Bombyx mori: one gene and its partner. The main gene of each other region encodes a partner of the protein of the gene in region 2 in a complex. Links are inferred from orthologs where the notes say so. Each region holds a gene or a part of one and is shown on either strand. Other genes may lie near its edges. The genes, in order: Golgi resident protein GCP60 and phosphatidylinositol 4-kinase beta.

The links.
Region 1: the proteins of phosphatidylinositol 4-kinase beta (region 2) and Golgi resident protein GCP60 are in contact, whole or in part, in an NMR structure (PDB 2N73), measured with the Homo sapiens proteins. The link is inferred for Bombyx mori from reciprocal best matches to the Homo sapiens genes PI4KB and ACBD3. Residues at the interface, in NP_001317650.1 of Homo sapiens: Val37, Gly38, Val42, Ile43, Asp44, Pro45, Val47, Ala48, Gln49, Lys50, Ala51, Cys52, Glu54, Val55, Leu56, Val59, Lys60, His63; in NP_073572.2 of Homo sapiens: Gln245, Ile246, Ala249, Leu250, Gln253, Thr254, Gln257, Phe258, Tyr261, Gln265, Tyr266, Leu276, Leu280, Gln283, His284, Gln287, Tyr288, Gln291, Leu292, Val295.

Annotation. Positions count from the first base shown.
Region 1 is NC_085124.1:9,512,170-9,516,687, reverse strand, and holds the start of Golgi resident protein GCP60, read right to left. Parts: upstream 2,841-4,518; 5' UTR 2,463-2,840; coding exon 2,318-2,462; intron 2,167-2,317; coding exon 1,953-2,166; intron 854-1,952; coding exon 785-853; intron 72-784; coding exon 1-71. Other genes in the region: GATOR complex protein NPRL3, read left to right, coding at 3,580-3,778. UniProt on the Homo sapiens protein: Involved in the maintenance of Golgi structure by interacting with giantin, affecting protein transport between the endoplasmic reticulum and Golgi. Involved in hormone-induced steroid biosynthesis in testicular Leydig cells.
Region 2 is NC_085115.1:3,737,871-3,741,700, forward strand, and holds part of phosphatidylinositol 4-kinase beta, read right to left. Parts: intron 1,352-3,830; coding exon 1,085-1,351; intron 1-1,084. UniProt on the Homo sapiens protein: Phosphorylates phosphatidylinositol (PI) in the first committed step in the production of the second messenger inositol-1,4,5,-trisphosphate (PIP). May regulate Golgi disintegration/reorganization during mitosis, possibly via its phosphorylation.

The DNA of each region.
Region 1 (4,518 bases), on a different chromosome or scaffold from region 2:
GCTTCTGTTTCTCTAGCATGACTCTATTTTGAAGTTCGATTCGAGATCTTTCTTCTTCTTCTCGTTTCAACCTTAAAATTATTACCTAATAAATCAAGTAGACTGGCCAATGGCTGTAATGTGCCTCCAAAATATATTTATAAAATATATTGTTTTTATCTTTCAAGCAATATTATTTACGAAATTGCAGTCACAAATTCAAATTGTGTGTAAAATACATAAAATAGGATCTGGAAATTTCTTTTAGCTTTAAAGCGAGCTTTTTTTTTTAGCCATATAGATAGGCACAGAATTTGGTCAATAAAGTTTAAATTTCGTTGTTAGGTAAGTCTTCAATGTAATTCTGTTATCGATCTCATATCTCTATACAGCATTTACTTGAAGGAATCTATCAGTTCCAATCTACCAGCTTCAAACAAACAGGTAATGAAACAGGAGGTAGGCTTTTTGGTGTCCGTAAATTGGATTATAATAAGTAATTGTGGTTTGGACCTCATGTCTCAAGGTGAATGGTGACATTCATGCCTATGGCCTCCGGTAACCTCTACACATCATGTGGGCCCCGAGCTTGTGCACCCATATAAACAATAAAAAAGTGAGGTTGTGGACTCTTTCAACAGTCTATGGAAGAAAAGAAAAAGTTTAAATTAAAAACAAAACCTTGCCAATGTCAGTTTTTTAAGGCAAACTATTTTTGAAGGGAAGATTTTGTAATGTGCCCCAAAAACCAAGAAGAAACAAAGACATCAAATGTAGTAAAAAATGGTTAATTTTTTAAACTTACTCTTGTTGCATCTTTTGTTCCTTGTCCTTCTGTATAGCTTCCAAATATGGCTTGAACAATGGACAAAGTCTGTTGATAATAAAACATCATTCTCAATTTACGACTAGTAAGTTTACAAATGATTCACATTTTAGGCCGACATAAAATATATGAGTAAAATAAATGAATAAATAGAATAAATAATAATGAACAGAATAAATATTCTCATTATCTAAAACTCTGGTAGGACACTGAACTGATTTCAAAGCTCTATTGGACAAGCTCTTGTCTAACACAATTTATATAAATTCAACTGTAATTTTTAGATATAATAGACTTAACTAATAGAGTAGATATATGTTAATTTAAATTTACAGTCAATCCAAATAACAACAAAAATATTCTAAGCAAAACTAGGAATCTATCTGTTTTATTAAGTTAAAGGTATTAAACCTGTAAGTCCACATCATTGTATATTTTATCTTTGACTGTATGATTTTTTTGTTATATGGCTACATAGAATTCACAAAGATAGTCAGTCTAGTAAATAAGTGATAAAACAGCTGATACTGACATACATTGCTGATACTTTAACTCATTTTACAGATAAGAAAAATACACTTAAAAATATGGGTTAAATATATTGCGTGAGCTATATTATTTTTGATTATTCACAGATAGGTTATGAATGAAACTAATTTTCTCCAGGTTATCAGTGTACACAATCATCCTCCTGCTAATTTACTGTTTTTTTAAATTTTTTTATTGCTTAGACAGGTGGATGACTTCTCAGCTCACCTGGTGTTAAGTGGTTTAAATCAATACACACTTTTTAATTTTGGAAACTGTTACTTTAACGATTAAGTATTAAATGCAATTTAAAGTTCTTGTGGCTTGACACATCTAGTGTGTATTTGGGCATGGCAGAATGTAAATCCTTCAGGCACTATTAATTAATTGACGTATTAAATTGTCTACAGGTTCAGAAATAACCCTCACAATAAAAGATAGATATCATGTAATTAGTCTAGCTAAAAGGCATGATTTGCATAATTACTGATGGCAGGGCACATTTTCAATGTGAGTGACATTTACATTTTGATGTCTATAGAGTACAATAACTTAACAAAGAATGTGCTACGAGCTTGTCCAGCAATATTAGGAATATAAAACATATTATAATTCTCACCTGTCTAAAGCATGGACAAAGCCAGCCATAGCCTGTATTTGAGACATTTGACCTAATGCTTGCCAAGCTGCATGCCTATCTCTCCCTATCACATCCAAGACACCCAGAGGTGGTACAGAATTGGGATCAAATGGACCGTGCGCGGTTTGTTGTGTATAGGCGACCAGTTTCAGCCTGTCTTCATAGCTAAGATGTATTGCTTTTCCTTCCTTTTCTAAAAGAATAAAATTTAATTTTAGCTTCTTGACATTTTTATATTAGGTTATCTATCCATACCTTTGTTTTCCTTCTCTAATTTCTAAGAACATCATATCAGAATCATTGTTTTGATAAATGTGTGTAGCGGTAAGTTGTATGCCCATTACCTTTATAGAAAAAGACTCCATGTTTATATACTTCTTTTAGGGGCATTCCCCACTTCCTTTCTTCACTGTCGACAATGCCTTGATCTGTCTCTAGCAATACTTTTTCTGGATTAACTTTTATATTACTATCGATTTTACTAGCCATCTTATGTTTTTCTGACAGACTGCTGTACGCATTAAAATCATAGACCAAAATAAACCACAATCTCTGCTTTTACAGCGCAGTTTCATTTTTCCAAACGGAAAGACGAAGGTATCACACCGTACAGCCTAATTTTTAGTATATTCTGTTTTATGAACTGTTCACTAACTGTTGGAGTTTGAAAATATAATAGCAGGCAACACATGACACATCATTGCAGATTTCGAATATTGGAATTATTTTAAATATTTAAAAAAGCAGATGATTGTCTTCTCGTAAGTGAAGTCAAGGACTTCTCATCTAGACACGGTCAGAGCAGCATCTAAGAGTATTATAAAGATAATAATTTTATAATGGTGTAACAGTGTTCAATATAATTATAATGAAGCAGTGTGTTTTTAAATAGACCCTCATAAACCTACAAAACCCAATCCCCTCAAATTTAACCGTCCAACACTAACCACAGAAAACTGTAATGTATCTGCGGATTTTTTGGTGGGAACACGCGGAGTGAAGTTGGTTGAATTGTTTTATTTTGTAAATTTAGTGTTTCCTCGGGTTTAGATATGTAATAATCGTAGTTTATTAACTGTTATCATCTGAGAAAATGCACAAATGTGGGAAAATTAAACAAAGTCTTCGAACGTAACTTCTCAGGCTCTTTCAAAAGTCTCAGTCATCTCATCTCGTTTCATTTAAATTCATCCCATTTGATAAAAATCTGAAATTAATAAAATTTATCCCATTTCGCTTTATTTTATTTTTAGTATAAATAAGAGAAAATAAGAATTTGAACTTAAAGGTCTTAATACCAGGCCATAAAGTCTTTAAAAAACAAAGAGTATTGTAGTCTATGCCTAGTACTTATCTGTTTACCGAAATTAGTAAATTAGACTTAGTGTTTATATACGATACTGTGTTATTTACCATTAATTTATAGCAAAATATTAATTAAGAAATTCTTTACTCTTTGTCGCTGTGTGCTAAAGAAAAGTAACAATGACTGCCGTGAAACTATTTCATACACTTTTAATTGTTACTATTCACAGCACAATGAAATAAAGTAATCATTTAAAGCAGATTGAAAACGTGTATTTGGGTTTGACGCAATACTAAAATCATGGAAGTTAATCCATTAAACATATTTTTTGTGAAATCTGACAGCAAGGGCGATAGGCTTTTGTTTAGATATCCATATACGATAGAACATAAAGGTGAGAATAAACAGAAGAGATGTGGCAGGCACAACCCTTACGCAATTACTTCAACAGAGGATTTACTCCAGAATTCACAATCTCAAACGTCGAATATTTGCAAAGGTGAGGTCCTTCCAAATACATGAATAAAATATCCATCTACAGCATCAATATCTGTAACTGTTACAAGCTTCTTTCTCTTCACTCTCTTCTAATTAACCATTTTTCATTTTTACATCAATAATTTTGCTTAATTTATCATGACCTCAATTGAATGTAAACATAAAAGTAGAACTTGTTATGTTTACAATTATGTTGAAGATATTTGTTGTTTAAACACCAGCAGTCATACTGCACCAAAGACAGCTGTATATTATTAAGCACTTCTTCCTATTCGTACACTCTTGACAGAGTGGTCATGCATCAGTCGGATGCGACCTGCTCATGACTCTCGTGGGAAATAAGTGCAGTGGTTTCCCGTTGCCTTCTGCAATATTATGCACAGTACATAGATAATTGTTCATTAGTTACTTTTCTATAATAATTATTTTACATCAGAAAATGATTTTATTGTATATACCCATAACAAAATATATTTTGTAAAATAGATTAGCTATTGCTTGTCACATTGTGTAATGACTAATAATGTCCCTCACAATCAGTGAAATATTGAATTGGTTTTGCATACTGACACCTTTGCACTTATTACGTTGTTGAGTAATAAACATGTGATTTTAATGAGTTTGCTACACCACCTGCCTCTGTTCATATTAATTTGCTTATGGGATTGTGTAACTAGTAGTAAGCGTTTTCATTGCTTTTGATTTCTTGTCGTTTTCATTTGGATCATAACCTTGTTTGTG
Region 2 (3,830 bases):
TGTCTTTAGCGACCATATTGACTATAACCATCTGTTTGAATAATCTAAAGCACTATTTTATAGGGCTGTCTTTCACAAGTTTTTTATTACTGTTTTATCAATAGCAATGTACCACTAAAAGTCGATTAACTATGAGCACCCTTCATCTAACTCAAACAAAAAAAAATCAATTTCCAGAATAATGCATGTACGTTCAAAGTTATTGAGTAGTTTGGTAAATTAATTATGATTGATTCGTAGTTACGAATCGATTTAATTGTGTGTTCTCGTAAAATTAATTTGCCATTGTACGTAATGGTATTGTTAGTGATCTAATAGATGCCTTAAGCGTTATGCACTAGTGTATAACACAGAAGCGTTTTCATCTTTCATTTTAATTTCATTCGTTTAAAGCTAAATCTACTCATTATTATATAAATACAATTTCTAATGATTTAATTCCTCCACAATTACATAACGATTTATGGTAATGAAAGCGGATCTGTTTAAAAATATCTATGTGCATATTAAAATTTTATGAATGTGTTGATTTAATACGAATGAAACTATATGAAAAAACATAAAAGAAATTACATTATTATAATGATGTTACTAAACTAAAAAGTCTGATTCGCTTACACTTTTCTTGGCGATTTAGTGAATGACTCGTCAAAACTTTTGAATTAATACACTTTCACTCGGCAGGCGATGTGTGTTTAAGTCACTACCGTAAAAACTGAGTTCTTAGAACTCAGGTCTCGAGATGGGTGCCGATATTTACGTTATAGATGTCCATGGGCTCAGGTAACCACTTAACAACGGGTGAGCCGTGAGCTCGTCCACTCGTATTTATCGCTGTCAATCGCCTGCCTGACGTCAACCCTCCTTGGAAATGCTTTTTTTGGTAGATTGGCCGCTACCAGTCGGGTAAGGCGCTGGATATTTGCATTTAAATCCCCCTGTCGCCTTTTACAACACCCCTGGGAAGATAAGGGGGCGGAACTATTCTTAGCCGGATCCGTGCGGACTTACCACACCTCATAAGCAATATAAAAAAGCCAGATTAGGATCGGAGGTTTTGTTCTCGTGTTCTTAAAGTACGTACCTGCGACACGCTGTCGGGCGCGGGCGCTCTGTGGTCGTAATGAGAGCTGAGTTCATCGTCGTCATGACTCCAGCAGTCTCCGGTGTCCACGTCGTCCAGTGCCGAATACAGGGAGAGCGCAGGCCACTCAGGCACGAGGTTCTCCTCACTCTTCGTATGTCTGATGGGGGGAGAGTGGGGAGCTGGTGGCGCTGGAGGCAGCTGGCGAGGAGGAAGAGGCTCGTGCCCGTCAGTCTCTAGTACCTCCACGTACATTATGTACGGAGCCTGTGAGACAAATGTATCAATGTAATGTATTCAAATAATACAAGCCTCTGGGTCTGCGGAGGGACTTCGGTTCCCTCTGTATTTTGTACCGTATGTTCCATGGGGAGTGCTCTGAGGAATTGTTCGAGATGATACCGGCATCTCGTTTTTACCATCGCACCGCCCGCCACCGGAGTAGAGTTCATCCATACTACCTGGAGCCACTGCGGTCATCCACAGTGCGTTTCCAGAGGTCTTTTTTGCCACGTACCATCCGGCTATGGAATGAGCTCCCCTCCACGGTGTTTCCCGAGCGCTATGACATGTACTTCTTCAAACGAGGCTTGTGGAGAGTATTAAACGGTAGGCTCTGCCCCTGGCATTGCTGAAGTCCATGGGCGACGGTAACCACTCACCATCAGGTGGGCCGTACGCTCGTCTGCCTACAAGGGCAATAAAAAAAAAATAAAAAAAAAAAAAATAAAAAAAAAAAAACAGATAATTAGTTTATCATTCATCTTTTACAATACAGACGTGTGACCAAACTCACGGCCCACCTGGTGTTAAATGGTTGGCGGAGCTCATGGACGACACAACGTTAATATATATAAATATTTATTCTATGATTAAACAGAACTTTGTCTGTATATTAAATACATTTATAAGAATTGTTATAATTTCTTTTTGTTTTTTGCTTAGATAGTTGGACGAGCTCACAGCCCACCTGGTGTTAAGTGGTTACTGAAGCCCATAGACATCTGCAATGTAAATGCGCCACCCACCTTGAAATATAAGTTCTAAGGTCTCAGTATAGTTACAACGGCTACCCCACCCTTCAAACCGAAACGCATTACTGCTTCACGGCAGAAATAGGCGGGGTGGTGGTACCTACCCGTGCGGACTTACAAGAGGTCCTACTACCAGTCATTTACGAAGAGACGTCATTGCCTCGACCACTAATCTTCGATTTTTTACATGTCTATTTTTGCGTTTATTTGAGCATCGAACAAGGTGACTAGAGTAAAGTTTTTGTGCGTAAACAGTTTTGATTAGACTTTAAAATTATTTCAAATCAGCGAAATTTAGTTACATAACAAATTAGTGAATCCAAATTTCTTAACTTTCTTAACAGCTCAAATTCCGCATACATACATTCATAGCATTATTTAATCAAAATCCAACGCGGCTAGAGCCTTGGTCGAAATTCCCATATCTCCTTGGCAACATAAACAACTCACAATAAGCAACTCTAACAAAATTAAAAACAAACATTTCTTATTTATTTCTCCGTAAAGCCATTGAATAACGTCATAATGATAGTAAAGATAAAATACTTAATAATATTAAGCTATCGCTAGAATGTTACCGGTTTGGAGACATCTTAGATAATTCGATTATTTAATACGAGTACAATGAATCAATTAAGCTATTATACTAGATCGTGTTATTCAAGCAAATAGTTTTATAATATGTATTTGAACCTCTCTAAGGCTGAATCTAGAATAGACAATATTCTATTATTATAATTTTTACTTCCCTGTTTTTTTATAGCAGTGTTAATGAGCATAAAGCGGATTTTGAGTTAACGGTTCGTTTGAGTGACACAGGGATGTCTATAGTGTATTTAGTTCTGTAGAGTTAAATTTTCATTCGGGTTAACCGAAAGTTTCACATCACTACCTCACTGTAAAACAAAGTCGCTTTCTCTGTCCCTATATCCCTATGTATGCTTAAATCTTTAAAATTACGCAACAGATTTTGATGCGGTTTTTTTTAATAGATAGAGTGATTGAAGAGGAAGGTTTATATGTATAATAACATCCATTAAATAGTGGAGAAATCAATAATAAATTACAGTTTCCGAAGCGAAGCGACGGCGGGTCGCTAGTATTAACTAAAATAACTAACTAATTCAAAATATCTCTGATTCAATCACAATTAAATTCATGTCGTTTTAGAAAGAAAAAAAAAGGAATACGGATTTAGTCGTAGCTTTAGTTCGAAGTACCTACCACAGTTGTTAACCCATTGCGATTTATTGATATTATAATATCGCTGTCGTAATTTATATACTTTAAAGTAACTAAAACAGTCAGCTTCCGATCATCTAAGTCTCACTTACACTTTAAGAGACTTGTTTTCAAGCCAGATCTATCGATAAAGGTACAGCTACAATTAAATGAGCCACATAAACTTTTTAAAACTGATTGTTAATGCATTTTTTACTGCCCTACGACTTAACAGATTACTGATGATTAATTTAAAACATTATTAATGTTGTCGACGAGATACTGCACTGACAGGCTGTGCATTATGAATACAAAATATGCACACAGAACAAACGATGAATCAACTTTCACAGTTCCATCTGGTGCGTCTCTCGAAAACTTATACATAAATATAAATAATAAATAATAAACATTTATTCCAAACACAAATTAAGTACAAAAAATAAATAAAAAAGATAACAAAAATAACGAGGCTTGGATGATGGACTTAT